2 linked regions of the Anolis sagrei genome follow. The protein of the gene in region 2 purifies or fractionates together with the protein of the main gene of each other region. This does not show direct contact. Links are inferred from orthologs where the notes say so. Each region holds a gene or a part of one and is shown on either strand. Other genes may lie near its edges.

Region 1 (7,534 bases), on a different chromosome or scaffold from region 2:
TTCCCCATCGTGGTCCCTGTGAATCGCACATATGGTATTGCCTGTGCAGACAGTTCGGAATCTTCTAGAAAACTTACTAGACACTTTTAGGCGGTAGCCCCGCCCATTCTCCCCTTGAGAGTATATATAGCCAGTAGGAGGGGCTATTACCTCGGATCCACTTCAGCCATTGTTGCAATGACTTTTCCCATTTGTTCAAATTTGGACTTGCAAAGATTTCAGTCGTTGTTGCAATACTTTCTTCCGTCAAAGCTGAATTTACAAAGTTGTTGTTGTAACGCCTTTCCCCATTATTCAAACCTGGACTTGCAAAGATTTTTGCAATACTTTCTTCCGTCAAATTTGGACTTGCAAAGATTTCAGTCGTTGTTGCAATGAGTTTTCCTCATCGTGGTCCCTGTGAATCGCACATATAGTATCGCCTGCGCAGACAGTTCGGAATCTTCTAGAAAACTTACTAGACACTTTTAGGTGGTAGCCCCGCCCACTCTCCCCTTGACGAGTATATATATCCAGTGGGAGGGGCTAGGTACAGTATTAAGTGGAAGTGTAGCATTGCCAGGAAAAAAACCTTGTTTTTGGTTTCTTGCTATGGATATAATGCCTAATTTTTAGGAATCTCGTGCATAAACCGTATGGAAGGGAAGTGTTATATTCTTCAATGGATAGGATCCATAATTGTAGGGAAAGTCACATAGTGAAGATAGGCTCTGCGTTACAACCCCAGAAGCACAAATTCGAATTCATTTGGTTGGAAATTTCCTAAAATTTCCGATTTGTTTACATTCAGAAAGGGATTTTCGTACGAAAAATTTCCGAGATCTAATGGAACGTAGTCTCTTCCCAAAATTGAGGGGCGAAAACACTTTTGGCCCCTGCGATTCGTGTCCCGGAAATAAGTCTTGTACCTTTTATATATATATATATATTAAAGTATATGTATCTATTTTTATATAGCACTTTGTTTACACTGCAGTATTGATGTTTATAAACGCATTTACTACAAAACGGCCCTCGAAGGGTTGCCTCCGGTTTTGTTCTCACGATGTTCTGTACTGGTTTTTGTAATTTTTTAAAAGTACAATAAAAGTAGCGTATCCTGCGTGGCTCGTTCTTTTCTTCATACGCTTTCCCCTTCGCTCTTTCCATCCTTTCTTTCCCTCTTCCGTTGCTTTGCTTCATATGCCGTTAGTCCTCTTCGTTTCTCGTTCTTCTCACTCCGTCCCTCTTTCCCTTCTTTTCCTTTCTTTCCTTCCCTCCTCTTGTGCCTTTCCGTCTTTCATTTCTCTTCCTTCCTTTTTCTTTCTTTCCTCAGTTATTTCCCTTTTCTTCTTCTCCTCCCCTCATATCTTTCCCTTCTTTTTCATCTTTTCCTCCTTTTTCTCTCCCTTCTTTTTCTTTCGTTCTGCCCTCCCCTTGTACCTTCCTCCTTTCCTTTCTCTTCATTCCCTCCTTTTTTCTCTCTCCCTTTCCTCCCTTTTTTCTCCCTTCCCTTCTTTTTCTTTCTTCCCTCCCCTTGTACCTTCTCCCTTTCCTTTCTCTTCATTCCCTCCTTTTTTCTCTCTCCCTTTCCTCCCTTCCCTTCTTTTTCTTTCTTCCCTCCCTTTGTACCTTCCCCCTTTCCTTTCTCATTCCCTCCTTTTTTCTTCCTCCCTCCCTTTCCTCCCCTTTTTCTTTCTTCCCTTCCTTTACTTCCCTTCTTTTTCTTTCTTTCTTTCCTCCCCTTCTACCTTCCCTCTTTCTTTTCTCTTCATTCCCTCCTTTTTTCTTTCTTCCCTTCCTTTACTTCCCTTTTTTTTCTTCCCTTCCCTTGTACCTCCCCCCTTCCCTTTCTCTTAATTCCCTCCTTTTTTCTTTCTTCCCTTCCTTTACTTCCCTTTTTTTTCTTTCTTTCTGTCTTCCCCTTGTACCTCTCCCTTTCCTTTCTCTTCATTCCCTTCTTTTTTCTTCCTCCCTCCCTTTCCTCCCTTTTTTCTTACATCCTTTCCTTTACTTCCCTTCTTTTTCTTTCTTCCCTTCCTCCCCTTCTACCTTCCCGCTTTCTTTTCTCTTCATTCCCTCCTTTTTTTCTTTCTTCCCTTCCTTTACTTCCCTTTTTTTTCTTTCTTTCTGTCTTCCCCTTGTACCTCTCCCTTTCCTTTCTCTTCATTCCCTTCTTTTTTCTTCCTCCCTCCCTTTCCTCCCTTTTTTCTTACGTCCTTTCCTTTACTTCCCTTCTTTTTCTTTCTTCCCTTCCTCCCCATCTACCTTCCCGCTTTCTTTTCTCTTCATTCCCTCCTTTTTTTCTTTCTTCCTTTCCTTTACTTCCCTTTTTCTTTCTTTCTTCCCTCCCCTTGTACCTCCCCCTTCCCTTTCTCTTCATTCCCTTTTTTCTCCCTCCCCTTTCTCTTCCTTCCCTTCCCTTCCTTTTTCTTCCTTCCTTCCCTTGTACCGTACCCTTTTCCTTTCTCTTAATTCCCTCCCTTTTTCCTTCCTTTCCTTCCCTTCTTTTCTTTCTTTCTTTCCACCCCTTATACCTTCCCCCTTTCCTTTCTCTTCGTTCCCTCTTTTTTTCTTTCTCCCTCCATTTTCTCCTTTTTTTCCCTTCTCTTCCTTTACTTTCCTTCTTTTTCTTTCTTTCTTCCCTCCCCTTATGGCAGAACCAATTAGGATCTACCATTTATTATGAAATTTTGAAACTTTTGTTAGAGTTCTGAAATTTTCACCACCACAACTTTACCAACACTGTAAAAGCAAAGCACCAGCGCCCCCTAGTTTTCACTACCAGAACTTTAGTTTTGTAAGTACTTTAGAACCATAGATTGCACATGCCTAGTGTGTATGTGTACACACACACACACTCCACTTGCTACCTCTATGCAAATACCCTTTCTGACTGACTTTGCAAATTTCACGGCTGCTCAAGGCTATTCAAGCTTTCTCATCCACACTTGCTTCACACAGACGAGGGTTCTTTCTCCCACCCTGGACTTCATTCCACGGGGATATATACACTCCACTTCCCTCACTACTTCTGTGCAGATACCCTCACTGATATCTATTCAGCACTACCCACACTTGCTTACTGCAACATCCACACTTGCTTTAAACAGACACGGGTTCTTTCTCCCACCCTGGGCATGATTAACAACACTACCCATTCAGTGCTAAGGCTCCACGCCAAAATGGAACTGTAGAGGAGAGTCTACTGAACGAGCCAGTACCTGCCACATACATTGCTTAAGTCGCATTGACCGACCGTCTGTGCAGGGTTCCATACTTTGCACTTTAACAACACAACCGTTCAATGCTAAGGCTTCCCACCAAAATGGAACTGTAGAGGAGAGTCTACCGAACAAGCCAGTACCTGCAGCATACATTGCTTAAGTCGTATTGACCGACTGTCTGCGCAGGGCTCCATACTTCACGCTTTAACAACACAACCGTCCAATGCTAAGGTTTCCTGCTAAAATGGAACTGTAGAGGAGAGTCTACTGAACAAGCCAGTACCTGCCACATACGTTGCTTAAGTCACATTGATCGACCGTCTGTGCAGGGTTCCATACTTTGCACTTTAACAACACAACCGTTCAATGCTAAGCCTTCCCGCCAAAATGGAACTAGAGAGGAGAGTCTACCGAACAAGCCAGTACCTGCAGCATACATTGCTTAAGTCGTATTGACCGACTGTCTGCGCAGGGCTCCATACTTCACGCTTTAACAACACAACCGTCCAATGCTAAGGTTTCCTGCTAAAATGGAACTGTAGAGGAGAGTCTACTGAACAAGCCAGTACCTGCCACATACGTTGCTTAAGTCACATTGATCGACCGTCTGTGCAGGGTTCCATACTTTGCACTTTAACAACACAACCGTTCAATGCTAAGCCTTCCCGCCAAAATGGAACTGTAAAGGAGAGTCTACTGAATGAGCCAGTACTTGTCGCATACATTGCTTAAGTCGCATTGACCGACTGTCTGCGCAGGGCTCCATACTTCACACTTTAACAACACAACTGTTCAATGTTAGGGCTTCCTGCCAAAATGGAACTGTAGCGGAGAGTCTACTGAATAAGCCAGTACCTGCCGCATACGTTGCTTACATCGCATTGACCAACTGTTTGCGCAGGGTTCCATACTTTGCACTTTAACAACACAACCGTTCAATGCTAAGGCTTCCTGCCCAAATGAAACTGTAGAGGAGAGTCTACTGAACGAGCCAGTACCTGCCGCATACATTGCTGTCCAGGGGGAGGTGGCCTACAGAAGGCTCAACGTTAAGAACGGAAACTACCAAGAGAGCGTTTCTCTTTCCACCTCCAGACCCTTCCCTTCTTTTAAGTCCAACCACGAAGGCTTTGCCTGCCAGGTGGGGTCCGGATCCACCCAGCCGTTTTTGAACCTTGTTGGGACAAACCAACAAATCCACGTCGACGACCTTCTCAAGATGGCGCCTGCGCGGGGGACGCCGCGTTTCTGCGCAGGCGCGACTGGGCGACCTCCTCTGGACGTCTCCGCCCCCTTCCTTTGGCGCTGAAGGGAGTGCGCATGCGCAGAGACGCTCCTTCTCTTGCTGTGTGGGAGTAGGCCGCGGAGCCTGTCGTGTCGTACTCTTCGGTGTTTCGGGCTCTCCTCGCGATGGCGGACGTCTTGGACCTCCACGAGGCCGGCGGAGAGGACTTCGCCATGGACGAGGACGGCGACGGTGAGTGAGCAGCCCAAGCCAGGCCCTGGCCTCACTAATTTAGGGCCCGCCTGAGGCCTAGTCGCCTCCGGTTGAGCGGAAGTGACGTCGAACTACATCCCCCAGAAGCTCTTGCCGGCCACGGCAACGGTGGAGCATTCTGGGAAATGGAGTCCAGTACTACTTTAGCGCCTATTGCGGCCTGTAGCGTGTAGATGGATGGACAAATAGATAAATAAATAGATATACACAATGCTCTCTTGCGTGTAGATCTCTTATCTGTATTTTATTATTAATTAAATTTAATAATATGTAATTTTATGTGTATCTATCTATTATTTATTATGTGTATTATTTATTATGTGTATCTGTATATATATATATATAATTTGGATCTTACATTTGGGTCTATATATTTTTATTATTTAATAATATCAATAATATAATAAATAAATATATTATTTGTATTTTATTATTAATTAAATTTAATATATAATTTTATGTGTGTCTATTTATATTATTATTATTTGATGCAATACATTATATAATATATTATAGTGTGTGTATATAATTTTGTGTCTATATCATTTAATATAATTTAATAATAATATTTAATAGTAATTCAATAAGTTTTATATGTGATATAATATATTATTTTGTCTGTGTATATATATATAATTTGGATTTTAAATGTGTGTCTATATAATTTATTATTATTATTTAATAATATAATAAATAAATAAGATTATTATATGCAATATATTATATTATTTTATGTGTGTTTGTGTGTGTGAATAATAAAATATTATTTCTATTTTATTAATTAAGTTTAATATATAATTTTATGTGTGTCTATCTATATTATTTATTATGTGTATCTATATTATTTTTATATGAAATATAATATATTATTTTGTGTGTGTATGTATATATATATGTATAATTTGGATCTTAAATTTGTGTCTATATAATTTTTTATTTAATAATAATATTAATAATATAATATTAAAATAAGATGATTATATGCAATATAATATATTATTTTGTGTGTGTATATATATATAATTTGGATCTTAAATTTACATCTATATAATTTATTAAGTTGTAATGTTTTGGATTGTGAACCGCTTTGATTCTTCGTATGGAGAGATCAAGCAGGATACAATAATAATAATAATAATAATAATAATAATAATAATGTGTATCCTAAATTGTAGAAGTGATCAGCCTTCATTGTATGTTTTTTCCCTCTCTCTCACACACACACACACACACATATATATATATCTTTGCGCTCCTCTGTCTTATCTATGTATATAAACTATGTTAACATACACCTACTGTGGTTGTTGTTGTTGTTTTGTGAATTTGACCGTTGTTTAATCAAACTCTATGTGGTCTCTCTGCAGAAAGCATCCACAAACTGAAGGAAAAAGCAAAGAAAAGGAAAGGCCGAGGCTTCGGATCAGGTAAGGCGACTCAACCTTATGATGATGGTGATGATGATGAAGATAATAATAATTCACCTTAATAGCAATCCTACAAAACTCATCCTGTTCGTACCTTGCCTATATTAAATAGTGTTGAGTTTGATCCATGCTGTGCCTTACTTTGGGGTGGGAAATATATACATCTATTATTATTATTATTATTTTCATATTAATATTAATATTATATTATTATTATTAAATTACATATTAAATTTAATTAATAATAAAATACAAATAATAATATTATATATATATATATATACACACACACACACAAACACACACAAAATAATATATTATATTGCATATAATATTTATTATATATTATTAACATTATTATTAAATAATAATAAATTAGACAGATTTAAGATCCAAATTATATATACACACACACAAAATAATATATATTGCATATAATAATCTTATTTTATTATTATATAATAATATATTGCATTAAATAATAATAAATAATATAGATACACATAAATAATATAGATAGACATGCATAAAATTACATATTAAATTTAATTAATAATAAAATACAAATTTTATATATATATATATATATACACACACACAAACACACATAAAATAATATATTGCATATAATAATCTTATTTATTTATTATATTATTAATAATATTATATTATTATTGTGGGAGAGAAGCCTCCCACAAGGATGATAAAAACATCCAATCATCTAGGTGGCGTCCCCTGGGCAATGTCCTTGCAGACGGCCAATTCTCTCACACCAGAAGCAACTTGCAGTTTCTCAAGTCGCTCCTGACATGACAAAAAATAATAATAATTACTATTATTATCATATTAGTTTATTATGTAACCTTAGCGGTTGTACGTTTTCGGTAGTGTGTTTTTGGCTGCTTTGGGTCTGTTTTTAAGAGAGAGCTTTAAAGTACATTCTAAAGTACGAAAACACTAGATGTTACGAAGAAGAAGCAAGTTTAAAATAATATAATAATAGTTTTGAAGCTGTATGTTTTATTTTTCACCAATGTAAGTCTCTAAGAGAAAAAGAGAGATATTATTCATAACTAGCCGTCCCCTGCCATGCGTTGCTGTGGCTCAGTCTGTGTATAAGTGTTTTGTGTGTGTATATATGTGTACATGTGTATATATGTGGTTTTGCGCACGCGTTGTAATGTATTTTTTAAGTCCCTTCCGCTGTGTTTTCCAGTGTTTTTGTGAGTGATAGTCACTCGTTGGCCTGATAAGTGGATTGTGACCAAATTTGGTGTCCATTCGTCCAGTGGTTTTTGAGTTATGCTAATCCCACAAACGAACATTACATTTTGATTTATACAGATAAGTAAAAAGCACCTAAGTAAAAAGCACTTTAAAGGAATAGGTAAATCCAATTAGGT
Region 2 (7,889 bases):
CATATAATCCAGTTCAAAGTAGATTATGTAGATTATATGGCAGTGTAGAAGGGGCAATAGTTTCATGTGTAAGTTGCAGACAACTAATTCCCTAAAAAGTATTGTGAGGATAAATTAAAAAGAAGTGTGATCCCCATGAAGGAACTGAAAAACATAAATGTAGTTAATACATTTAAATAGAATCTCCCAAAATGAATATACTCATTAACAGCTAATAGTAACTCTGGCAATTACTGGAAGGTTAAGTACATACATTCATATTGAAAACCTTCATTAAAGGAAGCAATATTTGCAGGTCCCAGAAAAAAAATCCATCTGCTCACAAATAATATAATTTGCATCTGATTATTTTCTTATTGGGTGGAATAGAAAAAAGGCTATTAGATACCTGCAGTCTAAAGCCTTCATTTTTATATTTAAGTGCTATGCAATGATAAACAGCATGTGTGTGTGTGTGTGTGTTTATACACACCCACCCCGCAGGTTGTGTATCCCTTATCCAGTGTTGCCTCTACACTGTAGATTTAATGCAGTTTGACCCCACTTTAACTGCCATGGCTCAGGCTGTTGAATACTGGGAGTTGCAGTTTGGTGAGAACCCAGCACTTTCTGGCAGAGAAGGCTAAAGACATTGGATAACTACAACTCTCATGGTTTGAGAGCATTGACGCTCCTTCCACACAGCTGCATAAAATCCACTTTGAACTGGATTATATGGCAGTGTGGACTCAGCTAAGCCTGTTCAAAGCAGATATTGTGAATTATCTGCCTTAGTATTCTGGGCAATAGGGCTGTGTGGAAGGGCCCTGAACCTTGGTAGGTAAAGTGCGTTAAACCTGCATTAATCCTGCAGTGTAGGTACATCCCAAAGATGTTAGAAACCAGAGATATTATTTTTGGGTTTCTTTTCTTTCAGATTCTGGGAATATTTCTCTATACATAATAAAATACCTCAGAGAGGGGACCCAAGGCTCAAACAACAAATTTATTTATGTTTCATATAAACTGCACAGAAATAATGTAATACGCATGTTAATTAATTTGGGGTGCAACAAAACACCAGAAGGCAAAGGTGTCAAAGGGCCCTTCCACACAACCCTATATCCCAGAATATCAAGGTGGAAAATCTCACAGTATATGCTTTGAACTAGGCCCCCTTCAAAACAGCTGAATAAAATCCCACATTTTCTGCTTTGAACTGGGGTATATGGCAGTGTGGACTCAGATAACCCAGTTCAAGGCAGGTAGGGCCCTTCCACACAGTCCTATCCCACAACACAGCCCTATATCCCAGAATCTCAAGGCAGGAAATCCCACATGATCTGAGTGTGGACTCAGATAACCCAGATATTGTGGGATCTTCAAAGTGCTGAATTCAAAGTGCTGGCGTTGGCCTTTAAAGCCCTAAACGGTTCCGGCCCAAGCTACCTATCTGACCGCATCTCTGCCTATGAACCCACCAAGACTTTGAGATCTTCCGGGGAGACCCTGCTCTCGATCACGCCTGCTTCTCAAGTCGGCTGGCAGGGACGAGAGATAGGGCCTTCTCGGTGGTGGCTCCTCGGCTGTGGAACGCCCTTCCTACGGACATTAGACTAGCACCATCTCTAATGGTATTCCACAAAAAGGTGAAGACCTGGATGTTTGTGCAGGCGTTTGAGTAATTTAGTGCAATCTGGTAATGGAACATAGGAATGGAACAATGGACGACGAACCTGGACTACGCTTGGATGATGAGAAGATTGGGTACGGTTGTTTTTTGTAATAATTGTGCATTGTAATTGCTTATTGGTAATTTATGGATAATGTGTTAAGTCAATTGTTATATGTTGTATGGAACCACTGCTGTTTCTACCGTTTTTACTGTTTGTGAACCGCTGTGAGTTGCCTTCGGGCTTGAGATACAGCGGTATATAAGCAAAGTAAATAAATAAATAAATAAATAATCTTCTGCCTTGATATTCCGGGTTAGAGGGCTGTCTGGAAGGGCCTACCTACACTGCTCTAAGTGTGGACTCAGATAACCCAGTTCCAAGCAGATATTGTGGGATTTCCTGCCTTGATATTCTGAGATATAGGGCTGCGTGGAAGGGCCTACACTGCCATATATTCCAACTCAAAGCAGATAATGTGGGATTTTATTCAGCTGTGTGGAAGGGGCCTACAGATATGCTTATCCGAGAGCCCTTCCACACAGCCATACAATCCAGAATATCAAAGCAGAAAATCCCACAATATCGGCTTTGAACTGGGTCTGCCATATATTCCAATTCAAAGCAAGCATATCTGAATTGACATTCTGGCTGTGTGGAAGGGCCCTGAGGCACTTCCATTTAAATCCAGGCATTTTTTATCCATTTAGTGAATGGGCAAGTGGGAGAGATTCACCCACCATAGACAAAAATCGCCCATAGAAGAATATGGGGAAAGCGTCCCACAAGTTGTGCTATTTAGACTATTATTTATTGTTATTATTATTTATTGTTATTATTATTATTATTATTATTATATTTAGATAGGAATAAACAAGCCCAAGGGTGAACCATGGCTCATCCTTTCAACCGGAGGCTCTTGGAAGCGGGAAAAGGGAGAAGGGTGAGCTTCCAATGAGTAGGAGCGGAGGGAGGGGGTCCACAGGGGGAGAAGAGCCCGGCGGGGGATAATCCTGTCCGGGAAGAGCCTCTCGCGCAGTGGGCGTGGCCCCGCGGCGGATGAAAGCGAAAGGTGGAGCCTGGGCGCGCGAGGACGGAGGATGGGAGGGGCGTCGTCGTCGTCGGAAGGCGGCAAGGCCCCATTGCGAGGTAGAAGGACAGGAGCTCAGAGTCGCTCCCGGGCCCCCCCCTCGCCTCCTCCCAGCCCAACCGCCGCTTTCCCACTCACCGGTTTCATCAGTCACATAGGGAGTCGCCATCTTGGAAGCGCGACCCACTTCCGGTCCCTGTACCTCCCCCTCCGGATGTGTCGTGAGTGAGAGGAGGAGAAACATCCGCGCGGCCGCCATTTTGTTTCTGGGTGGAGCCCTCCCTCCGTCTCTCCCCCCCCCCCCCCGCCTCAGTCCTCCCCATGCTCTTCTTCCCCTTCAAGCCCAGGGCCCTGCCACACAGCCCTATAGCCCAGAATATCAAGGCAGAAAACCCCACAATATCTGTTTTGAACCGGGTTATCTGAGTCCACACTGCCATATATTCCAGTTCAAAGCAGATAATGTGGACTTTTATTCAGCTGTGTGGAAGAGGCCCCAGCCTTAGTTGGGCCTTTGCATGTCCCTTCCCGGCTCAGCAGGGTTTGAGGGCATAGTAGGCAGCTTAGTCATCGAGGCAAGCACGATTTTGTATTTTTAGAACAGGGGTCCCTTCCACACAGCCCTATATCCCAGTATATCAAGACAGAAAATCCCACATGATCTAAGTCAGGGGTCCTCAAACTAAGGCCTGGGGGCCGGATGCGGCCCTCCAAGGTCATTTACCCGGCCCTCGCTCAAGGTCAACCTAAGTCTGAAACGACTTGAAAGCACACAACAACAACAACAATCCTATCTCATCAGCCAAAAGCAGGCCCACATTTCCCATTGAAATACTCATAAGTTTATATTTGTTAACATTGTTCCTCATTTTAATTATTTATTGTTTTTAAGTGTTTATTACACTACAAATAAGGTATGTGAAGCATGCACAGGAATTCATGCTTTATTTTTCAAATTATAATCCGGCCCTCCAACAGTTTGAGGGACTGTGACCTGGCCCTCTTGTTTAAAAAGGACCCCTGATCTAAGTGGACTGGGATTCACAGTTTTATCATGGAGAAAAGGTGTCTCCAATGAAGCTTTATCACCAATCCTTGTTTCCACATCAAGCCAATTTTTTCAAAATCCCAATTGTCACAGGGATGGAAATGAGATGAAACCCACTGTGGACTCAAACAATTATGGATCTGGACCAAACTTGGCACAAGCACTCAATATGCCCAAATATGATGGAGTTTGGGGGGGAAAGACCTTGATATTTGGGAGTTGTAGTCACTGGGATTCACAGTTCACCTACAATCAAAGAGCATTCTGAACCCCATGAACAACAGAATCGGGGCAAACTTCCCACACAGAACCCCCATGGCCAACAGAAAATACTTAAGGCCATCCAATCCAACTCCCTTCACCAGGGCAAGAAAACATAACCAAAGTCCTCCTGACGAGCCATCCAGCCATAGATATAGATAGATAGATAGATAGATAGATAGATAGATAGATAGGGAGTTGTAGTTGCTGGGATTTATAGTTCACCTACAATCAAATAGCATGATAGAATTGAACCAACCGGGGCATACAGGACTCTCATGACCAACAGAAAACACTAGAAGGGTTTGGTGAGCATTGACCTTGAGATTGGGAATTGTAGTTCATCCACATCCAGATACTACCATGGACTCAGTGATGGATCTGGACCAAACTTGGCACAAATATTCCATATGCCCAAATATGAACACAGATGGAGTTTGGGGGAAATAGACCTTGACATTTGGGAGTTGTAGTTACTGGGATATATAGTTCACCTACAATCAAAGAGTGTTCTGAACCCCACCAACGACAGAATTGGGCCACACTTCCCACACAGAACCTCCATGACCAACAGAAAATACTCAAGGCCATCCAGTCCAAGTCCCTTCACCAGGGCAAGAAAACATAATCAAAGCCCTTCTAACATAGAGCCATCCAGCCATAAATATAGATACATATGATCCACACACACACAAATAAAGTATCATAGATCTGAAAGGGACCCCTGAAGAAGGACAATTTTATGTTGCATGTTCCAGAGTAGGCAAACCAGACAATCTCCATATCAACATTGACAAAGAAACAGCAAGAAATACTGTTTACCCACAAGCATCAACACATTACATATATTAGAAACCAACTCTTTCTCATTATTTTATTTTCCATATCAACAGACTAGGCCACAGCAACGCGTGGCGAAATTACACTTCATAAATGTACCTGTTCTGGCGTACATACAAATTCAACAAGGACAAACTTACAGAACCTATCTTGTCTGTAACTTGGGGACTGCCTGTATTGCCTGTTTGCACATAAGATGGAGATGTTGAGAACCTACTCTGACACAAAAAGGAATTATGAAAGAGGAGTAAAATCTCTTATAGCTTTCTACCATCCTCTGTTATCAGGAACTGCTTAACGTGATGGAATGAGGTGAGGTAGATCAGTGGCATAGTTTCCAGATCTTTTACCATTTCAGTTCCCCACCTCTGGATACTTAGTTTCTTGAATTGCAGTCCCAAGAACTGGACATAGTGGTCCACATGAGTGATTGTGTCTAATGATCAGGATACTCTCGATGTTGAGAATGACAATGATGTTTCTAATTATGAGGTTGCTTTAGATGCAGAGAATGACAATGGAATTCCCGTTCAAAGTGTCTTTCCTGATGAGAATGTTCCTGAAGGGTTTGAGGATGATGGTATGGTCCCAGGAAGAGGACCTGAATTGCTACCAGAGAATTCCCAGGACTTTGAGCTTGAGAAAAGCTCGAAACCTGAGCCAACTACAGAAATTAATGAGCCAGTATAGAGAAGGATATTTTCAGTCAGCACAGGCAAACAAACCAATATCTCTGGCGTTCTGCCAGACGGAGAGAGAAATTGATAACAGAGTCAAAGGTGAAAGGAAATCTGTTCCTGGCCGCTTGGGACATAGGGTAAATTAGGGGATAAAAGTGCCAAGTACAGAATCTATAGTCAGATGAAGCAACATTGGAATTGAGTCAAGACATTTTTCCTGGTCCTTGGAAGCCTTGCCTTGGATAGATTCATGTGTTAAGTGCCTTGTTTGATTTCATGGTTCAAGTTTTGGAGTTTTACCTTGGAAGTTTCTGTATTTGTTTTTCATGAACTTTGATGGACTAATTTCCTGGACTATTTGTTTCTGCTTATCTTTCTACCTATTTGGATTTACCTATTTTTATGGAGTTTTTTTTACTGCTACTGCTTTTTAATTATCTTCAATAAACTACTTGCATTTTTACTCAGCTGTGTGATGTTTAAAGTCAGAGGGCTATCCTGGCTGGAGTGCAACACAGCCTAGAATTTCATTGGCTTTTTAGCTGTCACATCACTGTTACAGCCAAGCCACCTACTTGATCCCAAACACCACACAGATGAACAGGAATAGTAAGTTAATTAAGAAAAGAATATTGAATATAAAAATCCATTTGAAAATACATCTGTGAGCTAGAGTTCCAGAAGCTTAACAAAAAGCAATGACCAACTCTGAACACGAATTCCAAAAATCATTTAAGGCAAAAGCAAGAAACTGTAATACAATGTTTGTTGCACTTAAACTAGAATTCTATCCAAAAGGTTGGAAATATGAACATGACCATAATCCAAAGGCTTGATACTTGAACTTCACCATAATCCCAAAGGCTTGAATCCCAAAACAAGATTTGTAATCCAAACTGGGAGCATGGAACTTAAACAGGAAAACAAGATACAGACCCAAGAAGAGAACCCCTAACTCGGAGCTCCCAAGACAGGCAACGACATATGAAAATCCAATGTTGATCTCCCCAGCGAACATTGACTCCAATTCCTTAAGAATACTCGTGTCCATGACATCACTCTCACGTCATCTGTAGAGACTTAGGGCATTTAACTTGAACTAGATCTTCAGGCCTATGCCACCATTTAAAGCACTATGCTGAGGTGATTCTTATAGAGAATCTTTTAAGTCTTCGCTGCCACCAAATGTATAGAATGTTTCTCTAACTTGTTTAGAAATTCTTCTCTTTAGAGGCACGCTGAGGCAATTGTTTGAACAAAGAACAAAGTTGTTTATTTGTGTGAACTTTGGCAATACAGGCACTTAAGCTTAACGGTTGCAGTAATGAATAAACGTGTGTGGTTACTTCAAAGAACAGTTCAATTCTTAAACACTTCTTGGTTGCACTTAAACTCTTAACTCCCTCACAAAAATCTAGCAGTCTTCCCTCTGACTAGACTTCTTTGACTTCAAACAGTCCTTTCTCTTCAGTATTTCAGCTATTCTTTCTCTAATAGCTCTCTGAATACTACTGTAATCTACCTTCTTTAAAACCCAGAGTCTGTCTGACTCACACAAACACCAGAACCTATCTCTTCAACACCCAGGGTTTTAAAACGCCCCCTTAAAGTCATTTTTTCCCTTTTCTAAGTTAAGCTCCGCCCACTTTCTCCCAGCCAATCACTAACTCCTCTCCTTTCCCTCCAAGCTCCTAAGCATGCCCCCTTCAGGAAATGAGATTTAAAATGGACCCCCCCCCCCCCAGCATCCTTTCCAAAATGGCTGACAAACTTCCTGGGCTTACTTTTCTAGGCTTTTCCTAGCCTAACAGGTAGGGAATTCACTACATCATCGCACACCTGGGTTCCCTTTGTTTATCTTTCAGTCTCCGAGAACATTACATTTCTCTCTGTTTCACACTATCCCTTTGGAGCTCTAAACGCTGGGTAATCTGTAACCCACCTGTTGTCTCCACATTAATTTCAGAGTCAATTCCTGGCTGATTCTCATGAGAATCACTGTTTCTCCAACAACAGATCTACCCAAAACATATCTATCGTATAAAAAAAAACACTTTCACTTCCCCCCACAGAAACACTGGGCTCAACCAGAAAATCCTCATTCTCAGAGGCTTCACAGGCCTTAACAGTCACATTGTGCTTTTTTAAGCATTCTCTCCACTTCGATCTTATTAAAGAAGTCATCACTGCTAATTAGGAACAGATCTAAAATACCCAATCTCTTTGTTGCCTCTTCTACCTTCTGATCAATGAAGTTTGAAAGGCAAGTGAGGAATTTGCTGAACTTTATATTCTTGGCAGAACATCTTATCCAACAA

What was found.
Region 1: the proteins of PYM1 (region 2) and RBM8A purify together in Homo sapiens (co-immunoprecipitation; 11 studies listed by BioGRID and IntAct, counting the BioPlex papers as one, with this or other methods). This does not show direct contact. The link is inferred for Anolis sagrei from reciprocal best matches to the Homo sapiens genes PYM1 and RBM8A.

The regions. Positions count from the first base shown.
Region 1 is NC_090032.1:21,384,525-21,392,058, reverse strand, and holds the start of RBM8A (RNA-binding protein 8A), read left to right. Parts: upstream 1-4,524; 5' UTR 4,525-4,616; coding exon 4,617-4,683; intron 4,684-6,071; coding exon 6,072-6,131; intron 6,132-7,534.
Region 2 is NC_090022.1:146,357,737-146,365,625, forward strand, and holds the start of PYM1 (partner of Y14 and mago), read right to left. Parts: upstream 3,002-7,889; coding exon 2,881-3,001; intron 1-2,880. UniProt on the Homo sapiens protein: Key regulator of the exon junction complex (EJC), a multiprotein complex that associates immediately upstream of the exon-exon junction on mRNAs and serves as a positional landmark for the intron exon structure of genes and directs post-transcriptional processes in the cytoplasm such as mRNA export, nonsense-mediated mRNA decay (NMD) or translation.